2 linked regions of the Mus musculus genome follow. Each later gene encodes a partner of the first gene's protein in a complex. Links are inferred from orthologs where the notes say so. Each region holds a gene or a part of one and is shown in the gene's direction. Other genes may lie near its edges.

Region 1 (16,582 bases):
TTATTTGATTTTCTGAAGTCCACCTTCTTGAGTTCTTTATATATGTTGGATATTAGTCCCCTATCTGATTTAGGATAGGTAATGATCCTTTCCCAATCTGTTTGTGGTCTTTTTGTCTTACTGACGGTGTCTTTTGCCTTGCAGAAACTTTGGAGTTTCATTAGGTCCCATTTGTCAATTCTCAATCTTACAGTACAAGCCATTACTGTTCTGTTCAGGAATTTTTCCCCTGTGCCCATATCTTCAAGGCTTTTCCCCACTTTCTCCTCTATAAGTTTCAGTGTCTCTGGTTTTATGTGAAGTTCCTTGGTCCACTTAGATTTGACCTTAGTACAAGGAGATAAGTATGGATCGATTCGCATTCTTCTACACGATAACAACCAGTTGTGCCAGCACCAATTGTTGAAAATGCTGTCTTTCTTCCACTGGATGGTTTTAGCTCCCTTGTCGAAGATCAAGTGACCATAGGTGTGTGGGTTCATTTCTGGGAGATTTTTTATTTCTTCTTTTTCTCCTTCTCCTTCTCCTTCTCCTTCTCCTTCTCCTTCTCCTTCTCCTTCTCCTTCTCCTTCTCCTTCTCCTTCTCCTTCTCCTTCTCCTCCTCCTCCTCCTCCTCCTCCTCCTCCTCCTCCTCCTTCTCCTTCTCCTTCTCCTTCTCCTTCACCTTCACCTTCTCCTCCTTTTCCTCCTCCTCCTCCTCCTTCTTCTTCTTATATTTAGTTTCAAAAATTGTCTGAAGAATGGCTGAACAGTTGGAAAAATTGCAGGCGGAAATAAAGGGGCCCGAGAAACAAAACATGGCTGAAATGGGAAAACAAAGGGTGTCCTTCTGCTCTTGCTTTTCTGAAAGGATTGTAGAGTTGTCTGTGCAACTGGAGAGGCTGTGGGCGGAGGAGAAGCTCCTGAGAAGCAAGGAGCACCTGAAAAGAGAGAACACAAAGGTTCAGTCCTGATGACTGAGAAAAAGAGCAGGAGTTTCTCACAGGAGGAAAGAGGGGGAAACAGTGCTGAAGGATGGCCAGGTCAGAGAAAAGCTGAAAAGATAGGAGGACAATCTGATGAAACAGCCTGACTACACTGCCAGAGTGAAAGGAGGGATGGCCCAGGTTTACAGGACCACCATCAGCTTTCCCAGGAGTCATACAACATATGGTTGCTAATGTGGTAGAACAAGGTTATGACAAGATAGGATGGCATCCTACAGAAATGATAGATCTAAGGCATTTTAAGGAGGTCTTGATTTCATATAGGATGCACTTGCCTTACATGAAACAAATTCTGAATAACTAGGTTGCTCAAAATAGAATTATTTTCCAAGACTGGAAGGGATTGGTAACAGCTGTACTACAGTCTGCAGTTGCGATGGTTAAGGAAAAAACTTTGAATATTGAACAGCAAAATAGAGCAAGGGAATGGGTATAGTAAAAGATCAGTTGCTGGGTGAACTCTGATATACAAGAACAGATTCAATTTGATGATGCTACTGTAGAACAATGTCACTTAGTGACTTTAAGAGCTTGGGACAAAGTTGAGGAGCTCAGGAAAAAGTCTACCTCAGTTACAAAGATTATACTCCGGGGCTCTGTTGAAGGCTTCACTGATTTTTTTTTTTTTTAAAACAAAGATTAGTCGCAGCTGTGGACAAAGTCTGATGATCCTAATGGAAGACAGATGTTGATCAAGACCTTGGCATCTGAAAATACAAATACTAAATGTAAAAAGTTATTAAACCATAAATGGCTTGAGCAGCACCTATGGATGAGTGGATAAGGGAATCAACTGATATTGGTTCTAACTTGTACCATGCTATTATAATAGGTCATGCTTTACAGCTAGAGGTCTCTGATATCAAAATGCCTGGTGCTCCAATTATGGGAAATGTGGTCATTTGCAAAGAGACTGTGACCAAGCTGCTAAAGGTCTCAGACCTCAAAGTAACTCGTGCTTTAATTGTGGGAAATATGGTCATTTGGAACAAAATTGTGACCAAGACATCTCTAAGGGCAGTGGTTTTTCTAAATATAAACCATAAAGAAGACTTCCAGGGGTGTGTAGGTGATATTGCTATTGGATCAATGAGGGTAGGTCCAAAAGAGATATTTAAGGTAATCTCTTACCATTGGGAAACAGCCTTGGGTGCTGCCTTAGAGCCCAGCAGCAAAAATTATAAACCATTTGAATTAAATCAGCCTATATACTATAAGGATGTGTTGATATAATAGTGGAAGCCAGTGAAAGTTTTGTGTTAGGGATGCTGATTTGTTTATATGTCCATAGGAAATGAAAAGCTGTAGATAAGATACCTTCAAACTGATAAAGATTAGAACTGAACAGGCAAGGTCTACTGAAGACATTAGCTACAACCTGAAAAACACTTATTTCACTGAAAATATCTCTGTTTATACTTTCCAGCTACACATAGCATAACTAATGACTTAAAACAGAAGGGGAGACATATAGTGAGAATTCTGAAATTTTGGTTTCTTTAAAAAGTACAGAAATATTATAAAAATGTGCTTTTGTTTTAATCCCATATGTGAGTCTATGGGGCTGCTTTGGATTGTTCACAGCAGCTGACTATGATTTGCCTGTGCTCTAGCAGAGGTGTGGTTCTGCCAGCTCTGATTGTGTGACATGTGCAATTCTGGGAACTTTTCGGAGGGTACTTTGGGTTTTGTTGTGAAGTCCTCCTAGTGTTATGATTCTTGGTAATGTTTTATCTGTTTTGCTTATAAGTATTTCTGTACTGCTTGATTTTATTTTCCTTAAAACATTATGAGTCGGGGCTGGTGAGATGGCTCAGTGGTTAAGAGTGCCGACTGCTCTTCCAAAGGCCCTGAGTTCAAATCCCAGCAACCACATGGTGGCTCACAACCATCCGTAACGAAATCTGATGCCCTCTTCTGGAGTGTCCGAAGACAGCTACAGTAGTGTACTTACATATAATAAATAAATAAATATTAAACAAACAAACAAAAACAAAACAAAACATGAGTTGTGTGAGAATTTGTAATCATTTTGCTGTGTGAGCTCCTTCTAAGAGATGGCTGGGTTCAACCCCATACCTATGTATTATGGAAGGCAGCTCTGGCCTCTGCTGGTAATAGAACCAAGGTCCTCTGGAGTTTCAGCAAGTGTTCATAACCATTGAGCCATCTTTCCCACTGGTCTAACAGAAGTTTTATTTTACTTTATTTTGCTTACGCACTTTTTGATTTTTTTTAAAGACCTGGTCTCACTTTGTAGCTCTGCCTGCCTTAGAACTCACTCTAGACCATTCTGGCCTCAACGTAGTACTTGGATTAAAGGTATGCTCTACTACACCCAGCTGTAGCAGAAGTTGTAAATGAAAAAATGTTTTCTGCTGGGCGGTGGTGATGCATGCCTTTGATCCCAGCACTTGGGAGGCAGAGGCAGGAGGATTTCTGAGTTCGAGGCCAGCCTGGTCTACAGAGTGAGTGCCAGGACAGCCAGGGCTGCACAGAGAAACCCTGTCTCGAAAAACCAAAAAAAAAAAAAAAAAATGTTTTCCTAATGAATGTTTTGTCTTTGTAGACATATATTATTATTTATTGAACTCTGACTCTGTACCATGCTTTGTTCCAGGCAAAGTGATAGGCAGGACAAACAAAACTCTTTGTCTTTGTGGAACATATATATTCATGTGGCAACAGGTAGATGATAAATCCTTTTTTTTGTTGTTGTTGTTGTTGTTTTTTTTTTTTTTCGAGACAGGGTTTCTCTGTGTAGCCCTGGCTGTCCTGGAACTCACTCTGTAGACCAGGCTGGCCTCGGACTCAGAAATCTGCTTGCCTCTGCCTCCCAAGCGCTGGGATTAAAGGTGTGCATCACCACCGCCCAGCCATAGTTCTCATTCTACTTTCATACACATATATTCCATTACTCCCCTGCCCCATTAAGACTTCTTCCTCTTCTCTATCTCTCACACACACATATTCACACTCAAGCATATATAATTTTATGCATGTATAATTTTAAATTTAGGTTTCACAAATGAGAGAAAACACATAGTATTTGTTTTTCTGATAGCTTATTTTGCTAAACATGATCTCCCTGCAACTGTTATATCATTTTTCCTTATAGATGACTAAGTTTCCATTCTATGTATGTATCATATTTCCTTTATCTGTTTACTTGCTAATGATCATCTAGGGTTGTTCCACTTCTACCCCATTGTGAGTTACTCAGTGTGGATGTACAAATATCTCTGTGGTATGTTAATTTACGAGTCTTTTTGGTAAATACCCAGGAGTTGTACATCTGTTGCCCATCTTCGCCTTTAATGATTTGTTTGTAAGACAGGGTCTCACTGTGCAGCTCAGGCTAGTTTGAAGTCTCAGAGATTTTCCTGTCTTAAACTCCTAGTGCTGGGATTACAGGAATGATTCACTGTGTGTATGAATGTATGGATGGATACCCGAAGAACTCAGAAGAGAGTATCAGAGTCACTGCTGGCTGTCTCTGCTGGGTAATGCCATTGTTGCTGATGTGTGTTTACCATCCCGACTCTACCGAACTGGACTGCTGGTGTGTCTGTGAAGTGTATGTGGGTGAATCGAGCTGCAGCTGCCCTCTGACCTGTGAACTGAATTGCTGATTTCCAGACAACAGATGGGAGTTGCTCCAAAACACCTTTCTAAACACACCCACTGTCACCCTCCCATCGCTCATACTTTCTATTCCACTACCTCTGGTGCATGGTGGGCCTTTAAGAAAAAAAATTAAAGTTACATTTATTTATTTATTTATTTATTTATTTATTTATTTATTTATTTATTTAAAGGCATATGTAGTTGGGAGCTGGGGCTTTTGTTTCAGCACTTGGGAAGCAGGGGCAAGAGGTATCTGTGAGGGCCAGGCCAGTCTGTTTTACACAGCAAGTTCTAGACCAGCCAGGAGTTGATACCTTCACAAACAAGATTTCTGCTACATTTAATCATTAACACCATAACAAAGTGCCAAGTAGACTTTTAGTCTTGTAGCTAAGCAGGGCAACCTTTTTTACCAGCTTTTCTTAATTTTCTGTGGCCTTGATATTGGAAAAGGAGCCACAGTAGTGTATCTACACACATTTCATTTGTAGTTCTTTTTAATGCTAAAATGATTCAAATGATAGCAACCAAATCTATTATTTAACTTATTATTTTAAACTTTCCTCTTAATAAAATTACTTGCCCAATTTGTTTTGAAAAGCTGACATCAATATTTGCTTTTCTGTGTAGATTTCAGCTTATGAATTGTTCTGTGACAAAGTAAAAAGTAAACCTGTTGTTGGATCTGGAAAAGAACCAAGCACAGTACTTAAGGCTCATTTTCTTCTTGTGGCAAGCTATCAACGGTAGGGGGTAAACCCGTTTGTCCTGTTCTAGTGTTATGGAAACACCCAAGGCAGGCATCAATCAACCCAAGTGCAAACTAGAACAATTTGGAATTTGTTTTGGAAAAGGGTGTGATTAAGTCACTCTAACATATCTATTACTTCAAGTAATTTTTTTAAAGTTTGAGAATATTTAAAATTTTCTATTTTAGAAAACTTGAAATATATGCTGTTAACTATGGCTACTATGTTGTGTGACAAACCACAAAATTTCATTTATTTAAATGTAAAGGTGGTTCATTGACCACTTTCTTGTTCAGATTTCTTCACCCCCAAACCCTGGTAATGGACTATTGCCAGAAATGTCTCAGACCAGCCAGCTCCCGAATAATGATACAAAGACTTATTATTTATTATAGCTTAGGCCTTAGCTGGCTGGTTACTTCCCAGCTAGCTCCTCTAACTTAAATTAACTCGACTATTCTAGTCCATGTTTGCCATGTGGCCCATTACCCCTCATTCAGTCCTGGCATCGTCTTCCTGCTGGCAAATCCTCCCTTCTCAGTTGTTCCTCAGAGACACTCTTTTTGCCTGGAACTTCTGCCTTTCCTCTCCTGCCTCAGCTATTGGTTGTCAGCTTTTTATTAAGCCAATCAGAAGGTAAAGGAAGTGTATATTTACAAAATACTGAGGCATTTTATGATCCGTAAAAATAACCATAACAAAATTCAGCCAGTATTCAACTCTCTGTCTCTACAGAAATCACCATTTGAATGATACAAAGACAAGTTTTACACAGTGCACATTAAGATTACCTCAATGATGTTTCTGTGTAAACTTTTCTTGTTTTTACAAGAAATCAAAGATTTAAGAGGACTTTAAAGCCAGGTGGTGGTTGCACTTGGGAGGCAGAGGCAGGTGAATCTCCAGGTTTGAAGCTAGCCTGGGCTACAGAGTAAGATTCAGGACAGACAGGCTATACACTGCCTCAACAACCCCCTCCAAAAGGATTAAAAATCTTTTTTATAATTAGAAAACTTGTTAGTTTTTTCTAACTTGACATAAGCAAGAGTCATCTGGGAAGAAGGACGCCTGACTGAGGGATTGCCTTCACCTTGTGGCCTAAAGGCAAGTCTGTGAGACATTTCCTCCCTTAATGACTGATGTGCGAGAGCTGGGCTAACTATGGTGGTGCAAATGGTCCTGAGTGGGATAAAAAAGCAAGCAGAGCAAGCTCTGGGATAGAAGCCAGGCAGCAATAGTGTTCTCAGGTCTCTGTTTCCGGTTGACTCTTTGCTCTGACTTCCCTCAGTGACACTATGACCTCGGAGTTGAGAGAAGAAATAAACCCTTTTCTCTTCAAGTTGTTTTTGGTCTTGGTGTTTTACCACAGCAATGGAGAAGCAAACTAGAACATGTATTTATTATTTGTTGGATGTATTCTTACCCTCTTTATTGTAGAGTTTTTTTTTTTTTTTTCCTCTTTTCTTTTTGAGATAGTCTCACATTACCCAGGCAGGCCTTGAGTGTCCCATGTGGACTCTGAGGGTGGCTTTGAACTCCTGATCCTCAAGTCTCTACTCCAAAATGCTGGGATTACAGGACTGCTCCATTGTGCCTGGCTCCATTGTAAAGAGTTGAATTCAGAAAAATATAGCGCAGGACTTTTCTTTTGGCTAATCTTTTGTGTTTTCCTTTCTCTGTGTCCTTTCTGTCCTTCAACCATACCTTTTTTTTTTTTTCTTGTTTTTTTTTTTTTTTTTTTTTTTTAGACAGGGCTTCTCTGTGTAGCCCTGGCTGCCCTGGAACTCTGTAGACCAGGCTGGCCAGGCTGGCCTCAAAACTCAGAAATCTGCCTGCCTCTGCCTCCCAAGTGCTAGGATTAAAGGCATGCGCCACCACTGCCTGACCAACCATACCTTTTTGGTGAGTAAATTAACAAAAGCTGTTAGCAATTTTCAATGACTTACTAAGACCAAGACTTGCATCAGTTTCTTTTTCCAGTTAACTACTGAGTTACATTTTCACTTTTGCTTTGTAAAACAGACTTTTGAAATGCATGAAACTTATTTGTAGGCTAAACAGTTCCAAAATGGAATAAAATCTTCATAAAGTTAAGAAAGACCCTCAAGTAATTAAGACTTTTTTTCTTATTTTTCCAGACCTTGGTGGCTCTGAGTCTCAAGACTCCTGAATCAACCAAAGGTGATTGGAGACTTATAAACATATTGTAGTCTAAGACACCCTATCTTGCAGATGGTAATTTTACTAGTAAGATCACAATTCTCTCTGAACTCAGCCTAATTGGAAATGCTGTTAGGAATCACAAATAGATTTTAATAATAAGCACACACACCCAAGTTTTTCAGATTTTTAAAGGGCAGGGACAACTGACTTATGCGCCTGAGAAATGTGACAGGTGATTGGAAGCCAGGAACTGGGGGGACAGGGTAGCCTCAAAAGGCCTTAAGTGCTGGAGGCCAGTGGGGTATCTGGAGTTGACCTTTCACCTTTGAAAGGCATTAATTTTGGAGACGGAGCCATGTTTGTTTACTATGAGGGGCTGAGGGAGTCAGGGCAGGCGGAAGCTAGGGCTTTAGTGGGTGTAAGCGGCCGGGAGTCAGTTGGTCTGGGGGGCGAGGGGTCCGCTCCCGCCCGCTCGCCAGGGAAGGCGGAAGGCAACGCTCGGCTTCTTTGGACAACCTGGGCGGGGGGGGGGAACCGTGCGAGCTGGAGCGCAGATCCGAGACGACTCCTGCCTTTACGAGGACGACAGGGGGAGGCACGGGGCAGCCACGCGGGGTCGTCCCCGCTCTGGGGTCGCTAGCTCTGCGGCGGCCGCGCCAGGCCCTGTCGGAGCTGCGCGGCGACTCCCGGTCTGGCCGCGGCCCTCCCGCCCCGGCGACGCCGCGGTGGATTGTGGGCTGGGGGCTGCGGCGGCCTGGCGGCGGCGGCGGCCTGCTGCACGCTCTCCGCGGACCCAGCCGCGCCGGGCCGGTGGCGTGAGGCGGGCGGCGGCGTGGGGAGCTGAGGCGCCGGGGGCGGTGGTCGCGGCGCGGCGGCGGCTCCCCTGGAGGCCGGGGATGTGGGAGAGGCGGCGGCAGCAGCGGCGGAGGCGGCGCTGCGGACCCGGGGGAGACTGCTGGCTGACAGGACACCCGGGCGAGACGTGAGGGGCCCGCCGCGGCCGCTCTGCCCCCGAGCGGCGCTGGGCTCGAGAGGGCGGCCCTGTGCTCCCGGGCCCGCCGGCCAGCAGGCGCGGGGCGGAGGCGGGAACCGGGCTCGGACCCGGCGCGCAGGGCGGCGGCGGCCGCGGAGCAGCAGTCTCGGCGCGACGTGGAGGGATGGAGGCGGCGGTGCACTAGGCCTCGTCTGGGGCTGCCGCCCGGGACCGCAGGTAGGTGCCGGGCCCGCGCTTCGCGGCCACCCTCCCCCGACCCGGTGACCGGCGGGGCGGCGGGACCCCACCCCCTCCGTCTCCTCGGGGCTTGGAGCTGACAGAGTTTCGGAGCCGGTGACCGAGCCGAAGCTTCATCCTCCCCGCCACCACCACTTCCTTCTCGGCACTCCCAGGATCCGGGCCGGCAGCTGTGCCCCAGCCCCGGCCGGCGTCCGCAGGTGCCGCCCCAGTCCCCTCGCCCCTCTCCGGAATCCGGGACCAGCAACTTCCATCAGTCCTTGTAGACGCGGAGCCCAAACTTTCCCTGTCTCCTTTCAGCCAGGCCTGAACCCCTCTTGGAGCCTTCTAGAATAAAAACACCGCCCCCCCACCCCCCCGCCCGAGAATACTAAACCAAAGAAGAACTCGGCATTGTGCAGTTTTGCATTGTAGTTTAAATTATTTTATTTCTTTCAGTTTTGCTAACTGCTGTCTGCAGGGATACAAAGACAGGCCTTCCCTGTTCCCTGTGGGTTGTCTGGGAACTTTTGCCTGACCATTATAATTAGCTACTTGGCCTGTCCGTGTATGGCTTAGGGTGACTTTTTTTTTTTTTTTTTTAAAGAATTTTGGCCTATTAGAGTTACAAAGTGTTTCTTAAAATACCTTTTTAACCAAGTTTGGTTTTTGGTCCTTATAGAGACGTCTTTTACTTTCGAAGAATTAAATTGGGCTACTTCTGTTTTCTAATTGATTTAATTTCGGGTTCTCAAACTCAGGTCAGTCTTAATACATGTTCAGCGGGCAGGGGATATTATGATACGCTGTTTGTGGTATATGGAGAAGAAGGTGATAACTTATGCTGCAGGTCTTGATGGGCATTGAGTTTTATAAATGGGAGCTCTAATTGGAAAACTATTTGACTCCCTAGCAGTTTGGCTGGAACAGATGTAATGATAGGATATGTCTGACTGTATGTAGTACAGTGAGTTGGGTTTCCTAGAAGTGGGTATTGGTGCTCTACACTAATTATCATTAGGTAAAATTGGTCACTTTGTACTTGATAGTTGTAGTTTAGGATGTTAGATGCTAACTTTTGTATTGTCTTTTGGCTAGTTTTAAACTGTGTTCTGGCAACCTTAGAACTGTTACTATAAGTACCAGTCTGTTCACAGTAAAACTGTACACACTATCCGTGTGTTGTTGTTGACACTCATATAATTTGTTCTTGTGGTATTGCTGCTACAGCATTTGGCTTTCTAAAATGTTTTTCATTGTTTTCAAAATTATAACTGGCAAAGTTATCTAGAGTTTACTAGGAACAGAGGATTAAATTTGCATGTATTTGTGTTCTGGAAAAGCTAAATTATATTTCTGAATAAGAATTTTTATTACAATTAGATCTTATATAAACCATGAAAGGACAATTTGCAGAACCTATTCTTAATTAACTATTAACTTTTTTCCCCTACTCTTTTTAAAAACAGCTTTGTGGAGTTAACATACTGTAAAGTTCACCCATTTTAACCCAGTGGTATTTTGGTTTTACCTTGTTAAGTAAGCTCTGCTGAAGTTTTAATCCAATGCCTTGTGACTGTAAGAAAGGGACTCTCCACCAGCGATGACCAGTGCAGTTGGTTGTATTTCCTATGTGATCATCCCCATATATTATTGTGAACACCCTCTTCTCAACCCTTCTCTTCTCCTAATTTTTTGCCTCACCCCTACTGTTCTCCATGAAGCGTTAATCTACTTTTTAAATTTATTTACTTAATGTGAGTCTTTCACATAAATGATGTGAAATTATAGCTTTTTGAAAAATTATTTTAAAGTCAATATACATACATACATATATACATATATATACATACACACACACACACACACACACACACACATATATATATACATATATATATAAAAATTGGGCCAGGGAGTAAGATCCCAATCTCAGAAAAAAAATATTGTAAACAACTGATAGACTGTATGTGGAGGAAGACAAGAAGCATGAGTCACTTTGGTCTTAAGAGTATTGGTGAGGTAAGGGTCAGCCAATGAAAAGTTGGAGAAGAATTTTTGATAATACTGGAATATAGAATTGGAAAGGACCTTACAGGTCATTGTTGGCATACTTCCTGCTTGTCTCAACAAAGCAGAAACCAGAGGAAGAAGTCTGAAGGGTAGAAACTTGAATCTCCAGGACACTTGGCACAAGACCTGCGATGTGCTTATGTAAAGTGAACATTGGGTGTAGGGATGAGCTGGGTACTGGAATTGTTTAGATTCTTGTGTGTATCTATTTGACCTCATGCTGTTATAACTGGGTAAGAACTGGACATTCCTCCAGCATTAGGGACAAGTGCTGACAGAGGTTCTGTGCAGACAGAATACATGGTTTAAAAAAGCTTGAAAGCAAAGCATGACAAATATGTTATTTTGAAATGTTATTTTAAAATCAGTTTACTTTTTTTTTTTTGCAGTTTGGGTTAGGGAGTAAGCAGGTGATTTTGAGAATGAAAAAGAACAAAAACAACATTGTAAAGAAGATATAGATTGTTTTGTTGTGTCAGTATACATTTGGAGAAAGAAGAGGAAAAAGCTTGAGTGGCTTGGGTGCTTCAGAGCTAGTTTGGCGAGCTGAGGGTCAGTGAAATGTTGAATCACAGCTTACATTGTTCACATTTTAAAGATCCAATAAAAAACAAGTTAAAAATTATGATTAACAAATATATTTGGAGGCTTTCTTTTCTGAACTTTCAGAGTTCTAAAATCTAAAACAATAACTATCCAAGCATGGTTTTGTTCTTCAGAGAACTTTTGGAAGTGTCTGGAGATGATTTTGATTGTTAAGATAACATCTAATGAAGGATGTTAATAACTGCTATATAATACATAGACCTCTCCATCCCCCCAAAAGAAAAGACTGTCTGTATCAAAGTGCCAGTAGTACTGTTTAGACTCATGATCTGTATGATTCTGGTAAGGACTTGATCTATTCTTAGAGTCCCACTGAATATTATTTGGTGGAATAGAGAAATACTTAATTCATCTAACAGTTCTCTTTATTGGGGGAAGCAGTTGAGGGCAAAGCGAAAGTAAAGAAATTGGTATAATGTAGATATGTGTTGGTCTGTTTAGTTTACAAATCTGAACAAAAACACCCTTTTAGAAGCTAGAGAGATGGCTTAGTGATTTAAGAGCCTCCCTGGCTGCTGTTGCAGAGGATCTGAATTCAGTTCCCAACACACACAACTGTCTGTAATTCCAGTTCCAGGGGATTGATCCCCGCTTCTCACCTTCTTGGACACCAGACAAATGTGGTACACAGATTTATATGCTGTTAAAACACTCATATACATAAAATAAAATATATTCATAAAAGAAAAATATCCCTTCCCCTTAAAATGTCAGCCTTATATTAATGTACATTTTACTGTATTTTGAATTGCTGATTATTACTGCATAGGTTTTTAAAATTAGAAATAAACATATAGTACTATCTTTTTTAGCATTTTTTACCTTCATACATCCCCTACCCCTACCTCCTGTTAACTTATCGAGAAAGAAGCTAAATGTTTGAATGGCTTATGTATGCAAGTATGTATGTAGTAAAAGTCCAGGATTTTCATATTTATATACAACTCGCATTTCTGCTTCTATTGGTCTCACTTTTGACTCTGATGTTTTTAAATTAATTTTTAAATACTTTGGTGCTGCTGTGATCCATCTCTCCTTCCCAAGTGCTAGGGTTGTAGACCTGTGCCACTGGGTTTGGCTTTTAGGTGATGTTTTTGGTGATGAAAAGTGGTAGGATCACCTTTGTTACTTACTGTCCATGTGACTTTAGAGAAATTATGAAATGTTCCTGGGGTTCAATTTTCTCATCTAACAAATAGTGAGTGTGTTTGGTGATTACTGTATTATGAACTTATTGCCAATGTAAGTGAGTTTATGGGTTGTAAGATACTGTGTCTGGTGAGCCAAATAGTTCAGTGGGGAGAGCATTAGCCTGAAGATGCTTTGTTGACTTTAACATTCTCTGTAAGAGTTGTTTCAGAAGAACAAATTAGAAAGGAATATGTAGAACTTATCAAAAGCAATGTAGAGGTAGCAAGGTAAAATGAATAATGACTGACAGCTCTTAGGGAGAAAAAAAACACTAATTGTCTCTGTCCCTGCCGTCTTTCTCCCTCCCTCAAAAGAACCACTTAATACATCAATAATTGAAGTTCCTTGCTCCAGAGACCGACTTCAGTAGCACCTGAGGTTGGCTTATTGTAAGATTTCTATCAGGCTTTTTTTCCTGGTCTTTTTTCCCCTGTATTGTAGTCATTGATTTTTCAAAAGGGTAAATCTGATCATTTAATTTGTGTGCTTAAATTATTTCTAGCTTTATAATTAAGATGAAATATTATTTCTCATTTCTTTAAGATAAGTGAGTTCCTTTCCTAACATCTTTTTAGCCTTAGAGACTCCACAATTCTCCCCCATTCCTAAATATGTAATTGTCTAAGGCATGTTGAATTCTTTGTGGTACCTGACAATAGATTCTTTTTCTTCCAAATCTTTTCACATACCTCACCTTTTCTAGATCTCCATTACTGTTTTCCCCAACTGGTCTGACTCATTCTTTAGTTCTTGGTAAGCTGTCTACATAGTTATTAATATGTATGGATGCTTTGTCTATTTGTACTGTGCATGTGTCTGATACCCTTAGAGACTAGAAGAAGGTGTTGGATTCCCTGGGACTAGAGCTATAGATGGTTGTGAGTGGTTGCTGAGAATTGAACATGGGTCCTCTTGCAAGAATAGCCAGGGCTCTTGACCAATGAGCCATCTTTTCAGCCTCCTGGCATTGATGTTTTATTATTTAAGATTTTTAAGCCATAGGTCAGTTGAAAGAATAGTAGAGTGAGCACCACACTACCCCCAATTTTTTTTTTTTTTTTTGACAAACTGGTGTGGATATTTCCCCCATTTTCAAACATGCGTCTCCCAATTATAAGACTATTCTGCAGGATTATAGTTATGGTATCTAAGAATGTCAGTATTTACGTGGTAGCATCATTTGCCATAGAGTTAACGCTTAAACATTCTCAGTTGTCTACTGTGTTCTCACTTAATCTGCCCCACTCTATCACCATGAGTTGAATGGTCAAAAGTAGCTTAAAAAAGGAGTCCTTAGGCTGGACACAGGGCTTCTACTCTGTAGTGACAATTTTGACATTTTGGTTTCTTTAGAAAACACAGAAATATTACAAGAATATGTCTTTATTTTAATCCCAGGTATGGGATATGGACCTGCTTCAGATTGTCCTCAGCAGCTGGCTATGATTTGCCTCATGCCCTAGCAGGGGCGTAATTTTTCCAGTGGCAGACAGTGTCTACAGTCGTGTGACATTTGGAATTCTGTTGACTTATCAGAGAATATATAATGCTAGGGCCCCAAGAGGCAGACTGGGTTGTTGGTTGGTTGCTGTTGGTTTCTGTTTAAGTAGTCCTGCATAAAGATGAAACAAGAAGAAATTAGATGTCTGACAGTGAAACTCAAACTTGCCTCTAATGAACAGGAAGTTGTTTAATGATAATGTTGCCCCCTTTCCTCTCTATCCTTTTTTCCTCTCCTGTTTAGAGTTAGAGGTTTGAAAGGATAGAAGAAGGGGGATGGAAAAGGGTGGAAGAAAAAGAGCCCACAAAGTAGCTGAAAGTCCAGGTATATATAATATACATATAAAAATTAATGTACCTAATTGCCAATTATACACAACTCCTACCTTTTGGACCTAAAATATAGTTGTCTGTTCTTTTTAAGATTAACCCACTGTCTGACTGTTCACCAATTCTAGTATTTCCCATCTCTTGGCAAAGCCAATCCTCCCACTCCCAAAAAAAAGTTCAAGTACCAAATTAATGTTCTGTTCATCAAACCTATCTCCTTGACCTACAAATTCTTTTTTTTTTTCTTTTAAAGATTTACTTATTTATTATATGTAAGTACACTGTAGCTGTCTTCAGACACACCAGAAGAGGTCGTCAGATCTCGTTACAGATGGTTATGAGCTGGGATTTGAACTCTGGACCTTTGGAAGAGCAGTCGGGTACTCTTACCCACTGAGCCATCTCACCAGCCCAGAGCTACCAATTCTTGATTCCTCCTCATTGCCAAACCCCCAAGGCCCACCTCTTCAGCAACCTGTCTTCCATTTCAACACTTACTCGGCTTAGGATAAAAGAAAGGCCTACTCATTAAATCTAGCAGCCTATATAATATATTCAGTCTTCATTTGACTTGACCTTACTGTCCTCAAAAGTGACTTTAGAAGGTATGAAAGCTGAGCGTGGTGGCGCACGCCTTTAATCCCAGCACTTGGGAGGCAGAGGCAGGCGGATTTCTGAGTTCAAGGCCAGCCTGGTCTACAGAGTGAGTTCCAGGACAGTCAGGGCTACAGAGAAACCCTGTCTTGAAAAACCAAAAAAAAAAAAAAAAAAAAAAAGAAAGTTAGAAAAGCATTATTTGTAATTCTCTAAGGTAATGATTTAAAGACAAGATCATTACTTGATAACAAAACCATCAATTGAAAGGTCCTTAGGAACAGGATATTTATTCTTCAAAAACTTAAATGTGAGAGGCTTTAGGATTTGTTTTGTTCTGAATAATTAGTATAATAATTAGTATCAGGACACTAAAAGTCACTATCAGTGTCCTAATTTCACTTTGGTTGGCAAAAGTTTTGCTAATAATGCAGTTACATCAGTGACCCAAAGAAGGAATAAAGTATATACATTTCTTTGGGTTTTTCCTGAGGTATCTATTCACTAGAGACAAGTGGGCCTTTAATTGTGGGTTAATTCTAGTAACTACTGTAGTACTGCTAGGAGTCTCCCATTTTCATTTTGAATATTATTTAGTTTTAATTTTAAAATTATAAATGATAATAATTTTTGTTCTTGAAACTATCAGTTATTTTGTAAGACATTTAAAATACACAAGTATGACTGTCAGAGTTCAGATCCCACTTAAATCAGTAAATTCCAGGCAGGCTAGGTAGTCTACCTGAGAAGCCACATATGGGGGTCCCCAAACAAGCTAGCTATGGAGCCGTGCCGCACCAGTGACCTCTGGGTTTGACTGAAAGACCTTGCCTCAGTGAATAAGATGAAAGAGCTTTGGATGATGATTCCTGACAGCAACCTTGGACTTCCGTTTTCTCACATACAAGTCTACCGTTACACATATGTGCCAACATACATAGAACACACATGAAAGAGGAAAAAGACAACTTTAATTTTTTTTGAATGGTTTACTTATTTTTCCTTTTTATGCATTGATTGGTGGATTGTCTGCATATATGTCTGTGTGAAGGTGTTGGATCCCCTAGAGCTGGAGTTAGACGGTTCTGAATCGCCAGGTGGGTGCTGAGAGTTAAACCCGGGTCCTCTGGAAAAACATCAGATGCTTTTAACTGACAACTTAAATTTCTGGTATTACAATTATTTATAATTTATTCTAGCCAACATTACCTCTTGTTATCCTTTTTTTCTTTTATTGAAAATAGATCCCCCCCCCCCCCCCCCGCACATAATATAGCCTGATTACTGTTTCCCTCCCTCTACTCCTCCCAGTTCCTCCCCATCTCCCACTCAGATCCACACTCTTTCTGTCTCCATTAGAAAGCAAGCTTCTGAGGGAGAGTAGTAGTAATAATGTGATAAATTATAAAATAAAGAATAGTAGTAATAAAACCCAACACATTGGAATAGAACAAAACAAACAGAAAGAAAAGAGCCCAAGAGAGGGCACAGGATACAGAGACCTGCTCATTCTCACACTCAGGAAGCCATATGTATGCAGAGGGCCTGGTATA
Region 2 (16,066 bases), on another chromosome or scaffold:
GAGTGTTGGGTCATTGAACCTGGATCCTCTGGAAGAGCAGCTAATGCTCTAACAGCCAAGCCACCTCTCCAGCCCCCTCACACACACCCTATTACTCAAAAGCAGAGGGGCTGTGCAGATGTTATCCCAGCTCCCTGAACTCGGGACTGCTATGGCCAGCCTAAGTTAGAGATCCTGTCATTTTTCAGATCACTTTCCAGAGACAAAGCCTGCCTACTAACTGAAGGGAACGCTGTTCGGGCCACACTGGACATGTGTCACAAACTCAACAAAAGCAGCACAGATGAACAAAGTCAAACCTTTAACAGGTTTTTTGAGCCCCAAGAGTGGGTGTGACTTTGTGACTACCAGAATTAGCGGGGAGGGGGAAGTGTCATTGAATGAGCTAGAGAAATGGCTCAGTGCACTGGCTGCTCTTCCAGGACCTGGACTATATACCAAGCACTCATTCATAACTCGAACTCCCAATGAGAGAGGATCTAAGTCACTCTTTTGGCCTCCAGAGGCACAGTATGCACAGACATGCAGGCCAAAAACCTTCACAACCCTCACCTCAGCCTCCATATAATTTTTTACTTTTCTTGAGCCTGTTTTACTGTCAAGCTGTGAGTTCTAAAGGTGCATGATGCCAGGTTGGTTATGGTGACAAGGCAAGGGACCTATGCTCAGCTACAAAGTGTGGCCCCACGCCCACCTTGCCTTCTGACTTAAGCACTAACTTAAATTATAAAGAACCGACTCCTAACACTTAAAGCAGTTTGGAGGGACTGGGATTCAGACAGTACTAGACTGCCTCACAGATAAGGGCAGCAAGCACTTCTGGTCCAGCACATGCCTATATGCTTCCAAATATTCAAATTCTCACCTTGAGTGAGCAGAAGACACTTCTTAATTAATACAGAAATCTGCCCGGCGTGGTGGTGCACGCCTTTAATCCCAGCGCTTGGGAGGCAGAGGCAGGCGGATTTCTGAGTTCAAGGCCAGCCTGGTCTACAGAGTGAGTTCCAGGACAGCCAGGGCTATACAGAGAAACCCTGTCTCCAAAAACCAAAAGAGGGAAAAAAAAAATTAAAGAATACAGAAACCTTCCCTGTCCTTCACCCTTTGTTGGTCAGCTTGCAATCACCTCTGGAGGAACTCACCCCGAAATCTCTCTCCTCAAACTCCCAATACCCACCACCCACCTCCCAATCAGCTTCACCCTTTTGTTTTCCAGGCAGGTTTTTTTTTGTTTTTTCTTGTGTAGCCCTGGAACTTATTGATCGGGCTGGCTTCAAGCCCAGAGATTTGTTTGCCTCTGCCTCAGGGAGTGCTGGCATTAAAGATGTGTTCTTCACCCTCTCACACAGGACCAACAGAACCCTCAGTACCCAGGCTCTACAAACACTGTGCACAGCCCCTTCAAGAGCCTCCATTCACCTTGTCTGCATTCGAAGTCAGCTGTAATCATCTCCCAGCAGGTCACACGGGGCACAGGCATTGCCCCAGGCCCTTCAACCCCCTAGACACTGCTCTGCCCACCACACCAGGCACCTCCTGCTGTGCTATCATTGTTTGCCAAAGTGCAGAATTAAAAAAAGTCAACATGGCAAGGACTTAAAAGTGAGACTTCACAAGGTTAAAAAAATTTACTCCAACTTTTATGTCCACCTGACATTACCTCGGCTCCCCAGGCCTCCTTCAAACCTCTCAGCAGCCACCCAGTTCCATCTATACCCTAGCATCCCACAAGGTCCCACCACTGACAGGTCTCATGGCTGAACACACCTGACCAGCAACTCCTCAAATCACCAACTTCAAGTCCTGTCCCTGTCTACAAGACTTTTAGCTCTGCAGAGAAACATCCCAGCTTCCTCCTACGACCTCCCTTTTTGCCATAATGGGGAAAACTGCCAGCTTCTGTGTCACCTTCCACTGTGGCATCTGCCAATAGCTTCTGCAGACCACCCCCAACCATCACCGCTAAGCCTGGACACCTCTTAGGATGTTAGTTTACAGGAATTCTACTCAAGGTTTGCTGACAGCAGAGACTGCTCTCGGAAGCTGAAGATCTCGGGAAACCTCTGCAAGGTGGGACATGACTACACTCACACCCCACTACCCCTGGAGCAATGTTTTGGTTTAACCCTGGGTCATCATCAGGCTTTTATTGAAACGGGTTGGGTGAGTTTAGCTGCTTCTCTTTTGCCCCTAACACTTTTACCTTAATGGCAGTGATGGCGAAGGCTATTTTCCGCCGCCCATCGATGTTGGTGTTGAGTACTCGCAAAATGTGCTGGAACTTCTCAGGGATCACTAGAGACTGAAAGAACACGGGCAGTTATCAAGACAGGTTACCCCCAAACCGGGAAGGTGGCCGAGGCAGGGTTGGATTGTCTGCTAAGTTCTTACACAACTCCTCAGTCACCGGGGCTCACCCCTAACGCGCTCAGGCGCGGGAAATCGCAACCTCTGACAAGAGGGTGGACGTCGGCCGCGGCCCCCAATTCCCTGGACAGGGGAAGCGGGAGGAGCCCACACACAGCCAAGCTCCTGGCAGCTTTGCTGTGTAAGAGGAGCGAGCATTCCTCGGGGCCCCGATCCCCGGGATTTCACGTCTTAGGTCGTCCCCTCTCGGGTCACACTCCATCGCTCCACAGAGGGCTGTGGGCCCGCAGCATGGGGCACTCTCTGAGTCCTGACGGAAATCTCTCCCTGCCCCGGCTCCGATGTCGCAGGATCCCGGCGCGGATTCCGCTCTTACCATGGCGGCGGCACAGACGGCGGCGTGTAGGCCTCCTGTGGAAGAGAGAGCGGAAGTGACGTATAAGTCTTATATAGATTCCTGGCGGAAGAGGCGGGGCTATCCCCGGAGGTCCACTTCCGGAAATTGCTTCTCTCCCCGTCTCCCCCTAAGGGAGGAGTTGTATTGAGACAGTTTTGGAAGGGACCGGAGCTATAACTTCCGGTTCGGCCTTCTCTGTCGTCGTACCGTTCTTGTGTGGGCGCGGAGCGAAGGTTCCGGAACAGAGTTGTGTTCGAGACGTTCACCTTCCTGTTTGCACTTGACCGAAATGATCAAAGCCTAACCGGAGAGGCTGGAGCCGATCGCCTTAGCTCAAATATCTGGGACCCTTTTTTGCTCCATAGAAGACATTCCAGGACTTGTAGCTTTGCTTCGGGAAACGGACTTTCTGAGACTGACAGCTGCCGGAAGTCGGAAGTGAAGCTGCGGGGGAATGGCAGCCGCAGCGACCATGGCGGCCGCTGCCCGGGAGCTGGTGTTGCGGGCTGGGGCCTCAGATGTAGAGGAGGAGGAGGGCCCGCTGGTGAGAGCACGGGGCTGTAGGTCCTCCGGAGTATCGTCAGGTTGTCCCTCTCCTCAGGCGTAGGCTCCATTTAGACAAGAGGTTCGGAGCCGTCTTGCCACGGGTGATGGTGACCTAGCCTTCGTAGGGACCAAAGTGGCTGAAACCCAAGCCCCAGGGACAGTGTCAGCTTCCTGTTCACGATTTTTAGTAGAAAAAAATTTTAGTGTTTAGCGTAAAAGGTTAAGAACGTGGCCTCTGGAACCAATTTGCCCGGGGTCCCACCTCCAGCCCCACCGCTTGAAAGCTATGCTGTGTTTTCGGTGCCAAAACTTCCCACACCTTTACAGTGCAAACGCTGTTAGGACATACCTTATAGGTGGTCGTTAGGATTAGCCGAATGAGCATGTTAAATGGTGTACCAGACACAGGGGTAAACACTATGTAAGCTGGCGATTTTAGCCTCTGGAATTCCCTCAGGGATCACCTGGAATAGCTGGAAACTGAGGTCCTAAATTCAAAGGCAAGTTTGACTAGTCCTAGTTTTTTCTCATTTGAACAACTCCAGCAACTCCATGAATTGCCTGATATTCTCAGTAGCCCAAGATTGTAGATTTGAACGCATCAGAATCTTTGACCCACTTACTCCGGCACCCCCCACCCCCCAAAGCACCCCCCACCTCACTTGGAGGATTAAGGATACCCGATTATGTTTTGTTTCCAACATCTCTTTCTGTATCCCACATTCATTAACCTGTCCCTCTTCAGGGGGGGGGTTCTGGACTCCAAGAACCCCTACAACTTGGAGAGTTGGACATCACCTCTGATGAATTCATCTTGGATGAAGTGGATGGTAAGTGCTGACATGGGGTGGGAGCAAAGTAGACCCCTTTATTCTTTAGAAATATATTACATGACCCCAGTAGATTACCCTCTATGGTTTCTTTCTTTTGTATGTGTGTGTGTTTTTATTTTTAATTTATTTTTATTTTTTTGGTTTTTTTTCGAGACAGGGTTTCTCTGTAGCTTTGGCTGTCCTGGAACTCACTCTGTAGACCAGGCTGGCCTCGGACTCAGAAATCCGCCTGCCTCTGCCTCCCAAGTGCTGGGATTAAAGGCGTGCACCACCACCCCCCGGCTGGCTTTTTTCTTAATGTACAGATAAAGTTTAATCCATGAGTTGAGAAGGCTTAACTTCTAATTTAGGAATAGTAAGAAATGAACAGTACGAGTCGAATAGTCACAGCAATACACTATAATAAAATCGCAGCATCACTTTTTCCCCTTTGGGACTATTGTTGAGTAAGAATACAGCCTGGTTGAACATACATACGCAGACAGCTAAGACTGAGTGACTGGGAGGCAGGCACAGCACACACCATAGATTAACGGAGCAAAGATGTTTCAGATCCAAGCCCAGGCGAGAGGTTCTCTAGCTTCTCAGAATGCCACACATTTTAGATCTTACAAGCCACACTTTGGAAATCCCCTTTTAATATTTTCCATCTGTGGTCGAGTAGACCATGAGGAGCAGAAACAGCAGGAAGTCCCACCGGGCAAAGCAGCTGTGCCTATAACTGGAGAGGGTGGGGGCTGGGAGGGAAGGGGAGATTGGTGTGGTGTGCGTGTGCCCAGTGTGGGCAGAGGGAGGTCTGGCAGGGGACACTAAATATAAGCTTGTTTCCAGTTCACATCCAGGCAAACCTGGAGGATGAGTTAGTGAAGGAAGCTCTCAAAACGGTGAGGCTCTCCACTGGGTTGATCTCCCCACCCTCCCTTCCTTTTGGGGTCCCCTCAGCTTAGTGGCTCCCCTCTAGCCAGTCACGGAGTCTGTACTGGTTGTCCTTCCCCCCAGGGTGTGGATCTTCGACACTATTCAAAGCAGGTGGAGCTGGAGCTGCAGCAGATTGAGCAGAAGTCAATCCGGGACTGTATCCTCCAGCCTCACAGGCACAGGGCCAAGATGGCTGCTATTGGCATGGGCTCTTGGGGGCCTGTGATGCAGGTAGCCCTCAAGGGGATGTCTTCTCTCTCAGGCTTCTGTCACTTTGGGGAGGACCTGGGGGCAGGTACTGCAGATCGGCAGAGCTCTGTGTTCAGTGTGAAGCCCTTGACTTTTGTGGGTCAGATATCCAAGAGAGTGAAAACATAGCGTCTCTGCACAATCAGATCACGGCCTGTGACGCCGTCCTGGAGGTGGGTGGCCCTCACCTGTTGCCCCAAATCTGACTTAATTGCCTCTTCCTCCTCTTCCTCCTCCTCCTCCTCCTCTCCTTCTTCTTCTATCAGTATTTTTTGTCCCCCTTGGACAAGTGATGATCTCCCATCCTCCTGGGTTGCTGGGTACCAGGGATTTGCACAGAGACTTGGTTGACACACCTGTCCTTGTTCCCCGACAACCCGGAGTCATGCCCACAATGTTTCCTGCCCTCCCCACAGCGCATGGAACAGATGCTGGGAGCTTTTCAGAGCGATCTCAGCTCCATCAGCTCTGAGATCCGAACCCTGCAGGAGCAGTCGGGGGCCATGAACATCCGACTTCGTAACCGACAGGCAGTTCGGGGGAAACTTGGGGAACTTGTGGATGGGCTGGTGGTGCCCTCTGCTCTGGTCACGTGAGTCACTGGTTTGAAAGGTAGTAATGTCCAAAGCAGGTGGTTGGGCTGGGTTACCTAAACAATTTACAACATAGGTCTCTAGGCTGGGGTTGTCAGGTACCATCTAGAAACCAGGTGTGCCGGCTCATGCCCGTAATTATATGCTTGGGAGGCTGAGACAGGAGGATTGCTGCAAGTAGACTAGCCTGGGCTATAGAGTGAGATCTTGTAATGGATGGATTAAGAACTTCGAACCCTGCTTTACCCTCCATAGGATAGGACACAGGTTAAGAGTGCTCCAAGGCTACATGAGGAAGTGTGGCTCAGGAGATGAAAACTTTGTACATATTATCTTGAAGGCATGAGACCACAGAGAAAGGCAGAAATGACATGTGAGGTGTGAGGGGGCTCTCTCAGGGCTGTGGGGTACCCCGTCTAACCACACCCATTCTCCCGTGCTCCTCAGAGCAATTCTGGAAGCTCCAGTGACCGAGCCCAGGTTCCTGGAGCAGCTACAGGAGCTGGATGCCAAGGCAGCCGCGGTGAGAGAGCAGGAGGCTATGGGCACCGCTGCCTGTGCTGACGTCAGAGGCGTGCTGGACCGGCTCCGGGTCAAGGTGGGGAGTGGTCTGCTCAGAATCAGCTTTCCAGGAGCTTCACACTGCTTCCCGCTGTGCAGAGCGTGGTTGGCCCTCCAGATCCCCTGAAAATCTAAAGAAGGTTGAGATGTGGCTCAGTTGGCAGAGCGGTTGCTTAGCATGCATGCAGCCCCAGGTTCCATCCCCAGTGCCATATACATTGGCATGATGGCACAAGTCTGTTGTCCTAGCACTTGGGAGGTGAAAGGAGAAACGAGAGTTTGGGGCCAGTACAGATACATGAGACCCTGCCTCAAAACCAAGCAGTGTTCACCTTGGCAGCATAGACACTAAAATTAGAACAATACAGAGAAGATTAGCATGGTCCCTGTGCAAGTAAGAATCATATTTACAAAATGAAACAACCCAGAAAAATAAGGCCGGGTGTGGTGGTGCAGGATTTTAACCCCAGCACTCAGGAGGCAGAGGCAGGCAGACCTCTGTGAGTCCCAGGCCAGCAAGGGCTGCACAGAGAGACCCTGTTTCCATAACCAGAACACAACCGAAGTATTTGTTCCCTTTGCTTTATCTTCACCCCATTCCTGCCGTACAGTGAAAGCCCACCCCGCCTCATGGCCCGTCTGTTCCCCACGCCTAGGCAGTGACGAAGATCCGGGAGTTTATTCTCCAGAAGATCTACTCCTTCAGAAAGCCCATGACCAACTACCAGATCCCCCAGGCGGCCCTGCTGAAGTACAGGTGGGTGCGGGGTGGGCGCGGGGTGGCCTGTGCCCTCTCAACACTGCAGCGTGGGCATCCAGGGAGTCTGACTTGCCCTGGTCCTTCCAAGGTTTTTCTATCAGTTCCTGCTGGGTAATGAGCGTGCTACAGCCAAGGAGATCAGGGATGAGTACGTAGAGACGCTGAGCAAGATCTACCTGTCCTACTACCGATCCTATGTGGGGCGGCTCATGAAAGTGCAGGTGAGCAAGGCTGGAGACATGGAGGAGGATGGGGAGGAGGAGGAGGGGAAGGGGGAGGAGGGGGAGGGATGAAGTCCTCACCTGCTGCTGGTGGAGAGTGATGGTTCAGCTCTGTTATTTTCTCTAGTACGAGGAAGTTGCTGAGAAAGACGACCTAATGGGTGTTGAAGACACAGCAAAGAAAGATATCCTGGAGAGGAGAGCCCCATGAGCTGGGCTCATGGCTGGGACCATGGCGGGGACATCTGGCTCCAGCCTGCAGGCTGTGTTTCGTTTCGTTTCGTTGCTTTGCTTTGCTTTTCTTCCTTTCTTTATTTCTTTTCTTTTCTTTTTTTAAGAAGATTTATTTGCTTTATGTATGTGAGTACACTGTAGCTGTCTTCAGACACAGCAGAAGAGGCCATTAGATCCCATTACAGATGGTTGTGAGCCATCATGTGGTTGCTGGGAATTGAACTCAGGACCTCTGGAAGAGCAGTCAGTGCTCTTAATCCCTGAGCCATCTCTCCAGCCCGGGGCTGTGTTTCTTACCCATTCTGTGGTTCTCAACCTTTGAGGACATGAAATCGAGAGCTTTTTCTCTAAGAAGCACTCGCCGCTCTGACAGATTTTCACATTTATTTCTGAGGGTTTGTAAAACCTTGACAGCCATTAAGGGTGTCAGGCCAAGCAAGGCTCAGGTTCTGGAAAGGGCTATCCGGGCCATATTTAGTTTCCTGGGACTCGGGTCTTGGCTTGTTGGGCCTGGTGCAGTTGGTCTCATTGGTTTCCCTGACTCCAAAGCTGTTCACGCTTCTTCTCGAAGCCGTCCCTCCGAAGCAGGAACACCATCTTTACCCTTGGCACTCGTGGTACTGTCATCTCACCGGCCGAGCTGGAGGCCCCCATCCTAGTGCCCCATACTGCCCAACGTGGAGAGCAGAGGGTATGGTGAGGCAACCCCTCCATGGCCAGGATCAGTTCCCTGAGTGTTAGTTTGGTGTGTGGGGGGGGGCCGGTGTCCCTGGCCTGCTGTGATGCGGGAAGTTAGGAGCCATGGACTCAGAGGCGGGCAGAGGGAGACTGGCTGGGGCGTGACTGTTGGGAGGCAACAGTTGAAGTGAATGTGGGGGTAGAAGTCAGTGGGGAGGGCTTTTCTTGTGACCTGTGCCCCATCTTCAGTGCCTGTTCAGGGTGCTCCTCCCTGCCTGGAGGAGGGTGTGTGATCTTGTGAGCTCTGATTACTAAGCTGTGCTGAGTCTCCACATCCACGGGTTAGTGAGAGACCCATCGTGTCTCTCTCTGTCTCGGTAGTATCCATTCGAAGCGCTCTTCCGCAGCCAGCACTATGCCCTCCTCGACAATTCTTGCCGTGAATATCTTTTCATCTGTGAATTTTTCATCGTGTCTGGCCCGGCTGCACATGACCTGTTCCACGCCGTCATGGGCCGCACGCTCTCCATGACGCTGGTGAGCTCCCAAATTCTGAGCCTGTCCACAGGCAGACAGCAACTCCTGAGGAATGAGTGTTCTCTAAGCCTTGGCCCTGGAGCCCCCATCCCAAGCTCAGCCCCAGCTTCTGCTCAGCCCCAGCTTCTGCTGTGGGGAACTTACATAAGTGTGGCTGTGAGCAGGTCAGGCCGCTTGTGGTACCTGTGGACAGGGAAGAAGCTGGTCTCCCTGGTCTGTGCCTTGTCCCCAAAGAAATGTACATCTGTCTGCCTACAGCCACTCGAACAACAAGCTAACATTCATTTGTCTGCCACAGAAACACCTGGAGTCCTACCTGGCTGACTGCTACGATGCCATTGCTGTTTTTCTCTGTATCCACATTGTTCTCCGGTTCCGCAACATTGCAGCGAAGAGGGACGTCCCTGCCCTGGACAGGTCACTGAGCTCTGGTCCTTGGTGTCTGGATGTGGTCAGCTTCTTATGTTACGAAAACAGTTCCATCCTGACTCTGGGCCCTCACCTGATGCCCTTCACCCTTATTCCCATTCATGTGTCCCAGGGGCAGCATTGGCATCAGGCACACCCACTCACTGTCACCCTGAAGCGTGCTGTACTCCCCTGGGCAGACTGCACCCCCAGCCAGCTGACCTTTGATTCTGATTAAGCCTGCAGGTACTGGGAGCAGGTGCTTGCCTTGCTGTGGCCTCGGTTTGAGCTGATCCTGGAGATGAATGTCCAGAGTGTCCGCAGCACTGACCCCCAGCGCCTTGGGGGACTGGACACTCGGCCCCACTATGTAAGGGCGAGCAAGGTTAATAAGGGGGTCTGTGGTCACACTGAGTGGTGGGTGGGTACTGCCGAAGGAGTCAACTTAGGCAGACAACATCTGTTCTGACTGGTGACAGAACTTGCAGGGGTATCTGAGGGTTGTATCTCCCAGTCAGGCAGGTGTGAGCCTTCCCTTCTTGCTCCCAGATCACACGCCGCTATGCTGAGTTCTCCTCTGCACTTGTCAGCATCAACCAGACGATCCCCAATGAACGCACGCTGCAGCTCCTGGGACAGCTCCAGGTATAGCTAGGCAGGACATATTTGCCAGCAGAGGGACGGGACCTGTGTCCTTGCTTTCTAACCTGCTGCTTTCATTTGGCTTGTGCAGGTGGAGGTGGAGAATTTTGTCCTCCGAGTGGCTGCAGAGTTCTCCTCCAGGAAGGAGCAGCTTGTGTTTCTGATCAACAACTATGACATGATGCTCGGGGTGCTGATGGTAATGCTGCTCCTCCCACGGGGGTCCCTACAGCTTGTGAGCTCTGCCTGAGCTCAGCGCTTTACCCCTGGATGCTGGCAGTGTCCACATCATGGAAAGAAGGGGAAGTGATGGCAACAGTGAAGGTTCCCAAGCTCCTGACTCCTCTTGTCTTCCTTAGGAGCGGGCTGCTGATGACAGCAAAGAGGTGGAAAGTTTCCAGCAGCTGCTCAATGCTCGGACACAGGTAGGGCCTGGGTGCAGCAGGAAGACTGCGATGCTGTTGGACTGACCTCTGTGTGCAGTCATGAGTACAACCCACTGCCTTGTTGCTAGTCTATTTCATTTAACTTTTTCAAGGTACTAATAGTTTAGAAGCAACATAGAACTATACCTATTTATGTATGCATGTGTGTGTACTATAGCTACATGTATGTATGCATGTGTGTGCATGTACTATAGCCCTGTGTGTATGTGTGTGTGTGTGCACTATAGCCCTGTGTGTATGTGTGTGCATGCACTATAGCCCTGTGTGTATGTGTGTGTGCACTATAGCCTTTTGTGTATGTGTGTGCATCCACTATAGCCCTGTGTGTATGTGTGCGCACTATAGCCCTGTATATGTGTGTGTGTGTGTGTGTACTATAGCCCTGTGTATATGTGTGTGTGCACTATAGCCTTGTGTGTATGTGTGTGTGTGCACTATAGCCCTGAGTGTATGTGCACTATAGCCCTGTGTGTATGTGTGTGTGTGCATGCACTATAGCCCTGTGTGTATGTGTGTGTGTGCACTATACCTCTGTGTGTATGTTTGTGTGTGTGTGCATGTATTATAGCCCTGTGTGTATGTGTGTGTGTGCATGCACTATAGCCCTGTGTGTATGTGTGTGTGTGCACTATAGCTCTGTGTGTATGTGTGTGTGGGTGCATGCACTATAGCCCTGTGTGTATGTGTGTGTGTGTGCATGCACTGTAGCCCTGTGTGTATGTGTGTGTGTGCATGCACTATAGCCCTGTGTGTATGTGTGTGTGTGCATGCACTATAGCCCTGTGTGTATGTGTGTGTGTGTGCATGCACTGTAGCCCTGTGTATATGTGTGTGTGTGCATGTACTATAGCCCTATGTGTATGTGTGTGTGTGTGCATGCACTATAGCCTTGTGTGTATGTGTGTATGTGTGCACTATAGCCTTGTGTGTATGTGTGTGTGTGCACTATAGCTCTGTATGTTTGTGTGTTTGTGCATGTACTATAGCCCTGTGTGTATGTTTGTGTGTTTGTGCATGTACTATAGCCCTGTGTGTATGTGTGTGTGTGCATGCACGATAGCCCTGTGTGTATGTGTGTGTGTGCACTATAGCCCTGTGTGTATGTGTGTGTGTGTGCATGCACTGTAGCCCTGTGTGTATGTGTGTGTGTGTTATTCGACGCGTTCTCACGACCGGCCAGGAAGAACACAACAACCAGAATCTTCTACGGCAAAGCTTTATTGCTTACATCTTTATGGGGCCAGAGTGTAAGAAGCAAGAGAGAGAGAAAACGAAACCCCCTTCCCTCTTTAAAGAGAACAACAATTGCCTAGGACGCATCACTCCCTGATTGGCTGCAGCCCATGGCCGAGCTGACGTTCACGGGAAAAACAGAGTACAAGTAGTCGTAAATACCCTTGGCTCATGCGCAGATTATTTGTTTACCAACTTAGAACACAGGATGTCAGCGCCATCTTGTGACGGCGAATGTGGGGGCGGCTTCCCACATGTGTGTGCATGCACTATAGCCCTGTGTGTATGTGTGTGTGTGCACTATAGCTCTGTATGTTTGTGTGTTTGTGCATGTACTATAGCCCTGTGTGTATGTTTGTGTGTTTGTGCATGTACTATAGCCCTGTGTGTATGTGTGTGTGTGCATGCACTATAGCCCTGTGTGTATGTGCATTCTGCTTTGCAGGGAACTGTTTGTGTGTGTGCACATGTAAGCTCACACAGGCACATCTGAAGCTCATGGAGGTCAGAGGTCACAACTTCTAGGTCACAACTTCTTTTCTTGCTTCTTCGACCTTGTGTTCTGGGGACCAGTGGAAAGCACTGTTCCCTGATGAGCCAGCATACTGGATCTTGGTTCTGGAGAAAACCCTTGGGGACATCCCCTGCAACTTGTGACATCACCACCTAAGGTGGAAGGCTCACAGAGACTGCTGTCTGGCGGGTCATTAGACGTCCCTGTGCAGAATGGGGGTCCTTTGCTCCCAGGAGTCTGACCCTGTGTGTGCTTGCACTTCTCTCTAGGAGTTCATTGAGGAGCTGCTGTCTCCCCCCTTCGGGGGTCTGGTGGCATTCGTGAAGGAGGCTGAAGCCTTGATTGAGCGTGGGCAGGCTGAGCGGCTCCGAGGGGAGGAAGGTATCTGATGTCCTGGTGCAGTAGGTAGTGGGAATTAGGGACAGTGAGCGGGGGTGGAGGGGGTGGGGGGGTGGGAGTGGGGAGTCACAGGGGAGGCAACGCAGCAAGGAAGACTTGGCTGGAAGAACACCAAGAAAGCCAGGCTTGATGGTGAGCACAGATGTGCCCAGGGCAGGCCTTGCTGGGTCACCAGCCCTGGTTGCTCTGTGCCTGGTGGACGGTAACCAGACCTGGAGCTCTCTGACACACCTTTTCCTCTGGCGGTCAGCCCGAGTCACTCAGCTGATCCGTGGCTTTGGTAGTTCCTGGAAGGCATCAGTGGAGTCCCTGAGTCAGGATGTAATGCGAAGTTTTACCAACTTCCGAAATGGAACCAGCATCATCCAGGTGACCGGCCACTCCCACCCTTTGCCTGTGTCCTAAGGTTGTCTATTTCCTCGCTCTTTCCCCTGGGCTCCGCATCACACAAACGCCTTGAAGGCCAACAAGCATCTGTGCCTGAGATTCTGGTGAAGCTCTGACAGCTCAGGTCACCATGAGTCTGACCCTGACTCTCCTCTGTGCAGGGGGCGCTGACCCAGCTGATCCAGCTCTACCATCGCTTCCACCGGGTGCTGTCTCAGCCCCAGCTCCGCGCACTCCCGGCCAGGGCCGAGCTCATCAACATCCATCACCTCATGGTGGAGCTGAAGAAACACAAGCCGAACTTCTGATTCAGACCCCCCTCCCCCGCCCCTAAGCTCCTGTGTACTCTGTGTGTCACACATTTTCACCTGGGACCCCTTTCCCATCCCTTTTATCTCTATGGCTTCCACACTCCCCTCTCAGCCTCCATTGCCAGGACTCTGCCTCAACAGAGTGCGTTCAAGGCCACTCCCTGGGTTTCTGAGTGAGGTGACCTTCATTTCCAGTCCGGTCAGCTCCTCTGCTGTTCACTCACAGCCTGTGAGCTTCCACCGCCCCAGGCTCTGACTGACCCTCAGCTCTTAGGGCAGAGCACTGCAGGCCACCCTGTAGCTGATCTGTGGGCTCTGCTGGAACAGTGACATCACCTCGTGGTGGGTCTCACTATGTGGCAATAATAAGTACTAACAGTGCTGGGACCGTGTCCTCTCCTTTGTCCCTGGGCCTCTAAATTCTCCAGCATGTGTTTATTGTAGACCTAGTCTGTTCCTGGTGGGCATCAGGAAGAGGGTGTGATAGTACCCCAAGGTCTGTTGCTGCTTCTGGCCCAGGGGTGGCATAGATGCTCAGGAGGGGACTGTTTGTAGCTCTCCAGGAGGGTGGCACTTGTCGCAAGGCCTGGGAATGTGGTAGCTTTGGGTGCTGTCCTGAGGGATACCATGGGAATAGTCCACACAGCCTCTGAGATTGTGTCAGCCACTAAGTGGCTGTTACAGCTCCTTTGAGGATGGAGGGCCTATAACACCTGCAGCCATGCATCAAGGCAGGGGTGGACCTGGCTCCAAAACAGATCCTGTCATTTTCATGTGACCCAGACCCTTCCCGCTGCCCTCTGCCTCACCTCTGTAAGGAGTTTGCAGACTCCAGAGCAGTGGTTCTCAACCTTCCTAATACTGCAACGCTTTAACACAGTTCCTTGTGCTGACCCCAACCTTAAAGTTATTTTCATTGTTACTTCATAACTGTGATTTTGTACTGTTAAGAATACTAGCCAGGCGTGGTGGCACATGCCTTTAATCCCAGCACTTGGGAGGCAGAGGCAGGTGGATTTCTGAGTTCGAGGCTAGCCTGGTCTACAAAGTGGGTTTCAGGACAGCCAGGGCTACACAGAGAAACCCTGTCTCGAAAAAAAACAAAAAAAGAATATTAATATAGGGGCTGGTGAGATAGCTCAGTGGGTAAGGGCACCCGACTGCTTTTCCAAAGGTCCAGAGTTCAAATCCCAGCAACCACATGGTGGCTCACAACCATCTTTAACAAGATCTGACTCCCTCTTCTGGAGTGTCTGAAGACAGCGACAGTGTACTTACATATGATAAATAAATCTTTTTTTTTTTTTTTAAATAAGAATACTAATATAGCCAGGCATGGTGGTGCATGCCTTTAATCCCAGCACTTGGGAAGCAGAGGCAGGCGGATTTCTGAGTTCGAGGCCAGCCTGCACAGCCAGGGCTATACAGAGAAACCCTGTTTCGAAAAACCAAAAAAAAAAAAAAAGAATACTAATATAAATATCTGTGTTTTCTGATGGACTTAAGCAACCCATGTGAAAGGGTTGTTTGACCCCCAAAGGGGTCATGGCCCACAGGTTCTAGAGTGAAGGTACATGCTTGACCAAGTTGTTTGGTTTTTGAGACAGGGTTTCTCTGTGAAGCCCTGGTTGTCCTGGAACTCACTCTGTAGGCCAGGCTGGTCTCGAACTTAGAGATCCACCTGCCTCTGCCTCCCAAGTGTTGGGACTGAAGGTGTGTTTTTCCATAGACTGGCAACCTTGACCAAGTCTTGAACAAAAGCTAGGCTGGTTTGCAGACTGTAACCCTGTCTAATTAGGGACCAGAAGCACTGGATGGAATGCCCGCTTCAGTTATGAGTAAGTTCAAGGCCAGCCTGGACCACGTCTTAAAAGTAAAGGCTGGGACACAGCTCGGTGGCAGGAAGTCGTCCCTAGGTCCCATCTGCAGTGTGGGGGAAATTGCAGGTGAAAGACGCTGTCAAGGAAAAAAAAGTAATTTGAGGTTATTTCCTTTACCCCATTCACTTCCCAGGGCCTTGGCTGGAGAGCCTAAGTCCACCCCGCCCCCGCCCTGGGCATCCATGCTCCTTTCTCACTTGTTACAACTTTCCCACCTACTCCACCACCCACTTCCAGGTGTCAGACCTGGGGATCCCAGGCTTCTGGTTTTACCTTATAGCCCCTGTGTTCTGGAACTTGCTATGTGGTTGAAGAATGCAGAGATCTGCCCTCCAGAGGGCTGGGACTGAAGGCATTCCCAGAGAAACCCAGGGCCCTTTCTTTGTGTGGTCACATCAAGCTCAGCTGGTGTGTAGTTCAATGAGGACACAGTCAACAGGCAGGAAGCCCTGGGGTAAATCCTGGGCAACAGCAACCACAAAAGGAAAAACAACTAATGCTTTGCTGTGGCGGGCTGTGCAGGGGATACCCGGCTTCTTAGTGTGGCCCTTCTTCAGTGTGACCCGGACAGCTTCGTGGGCTTGTGAAGCTGCCCAGCAGTTCCTGGACTCTGCAGTCTGCAGTCTGGAGGGACATTCAACATAGAGCCCAGTCCATCTCCAAGATTCTTGAGAGCTGCGATGCGGCTCATGGCCACGAGGGGGCAGCAGGACACAGGAATAAGAGTGGCTCCAGTTCTTGATCACCTAAGTGGCTGTGAGCTTTGAATGCTGGGGAAGGCAGGGAGTTGTGGTCGCCTATGCCCTCTTCATACCCAAGCAGCCAGGGATTTTCCTTTCAGCCCCCAATCTTCTGGTTTGTGGTTTTCCCGGGTCCTTATGAACACAGCTTCTGAGTGAGATTACACCTCGGCCCCTCACCTGATTGTTACTCAACACCACACTCCAGTCAC

What was found.
Region 2: Vps54 (region 1) and Vps52 share a complex: the UniProt entries of both Homo sapiens proteins name them as parts of the golgi-associated retrograde protein (GARP) complex. The link is inferred for Mus musculus from reciprocal best matches to the Homo sapiens genes VPS54 and VPS52.

Annotation. Positions count from the first base shown.
Region 1 is NC_000077.6:21,230,637-21,247,218, forward strand, and holds the start of Vps54 (vacuolar protein sorting-associated protein 54), read left to right. Parts: upstream 1-8,395; 5' UTR 8,396-8,735; intron 8,736-16,582. UniProt on the Homo sapiens protein: Acts as a component of the GARP complex that is involved in retrograde transport from early and late endosomes to the trans-Golgi network (TGN).
Region 2 is NC_000083.6:33,952,875-33,968,940, forward strand, and holds Vps52 (vacuolar protein sorting-associated protein 52 homolog), read left to right. Parts: upstream 1-2,925; 5' UTR 2,926-3,218; coding exon 3,219-3,308; exon of another isoform or gene 3,309-3,810; intron 3,811-4,055; coding exon 4,056-4,140; intron 4,141-4,974; coding exon 4,975-5,027; intron 5,028-5,142; coding exon 5,143-5,218; intron 5,219-5,415; coding exon 5,416-5,483; intron 5,484-5,726; coding exon 5,727-5,902; intron 5,903-6,350; coding exon 6,351-6,501; intron 6,502-6,788; exon of another isoform or gene 6,789-6,898; intron 6,899-7,075; exon of another isoform or gene 7,076-7,120; coding exon 7,121-7,221; intron 7,222-7,312; coding exon 7,313-7,445; intron 7,446-7,572; coding exon 7,573-7,630; intron 7,631-8,236; coding exon 8,237-8,370; intron 8,371-8,738; coding exon 8,739-8,894; intron 8,895-9,192; coding exon 9,193-9,311; intron 9,312-9,541; exon of another isoform or gene 9,542-9,548; coding exon 9,549-9,672; coding exon of another isoform or gene 9,673-9,687; intron 9,688-9,851; coding exon 9,852-9,947; intron 9,948-10,035; coding exon 10,036-10,143; intron 10,144-10,303; and 9 more. Other genes in the region: Rps18 (40S ribosomal protein S18), read right to left, coding at 2,204-2,302, 2,744-2,746. UniProt on the Homo sapiens protein: Acts as a component of the GARP complex that is involved in retrograde transport from early and late endosomes to the trans-Golgi network (TGN).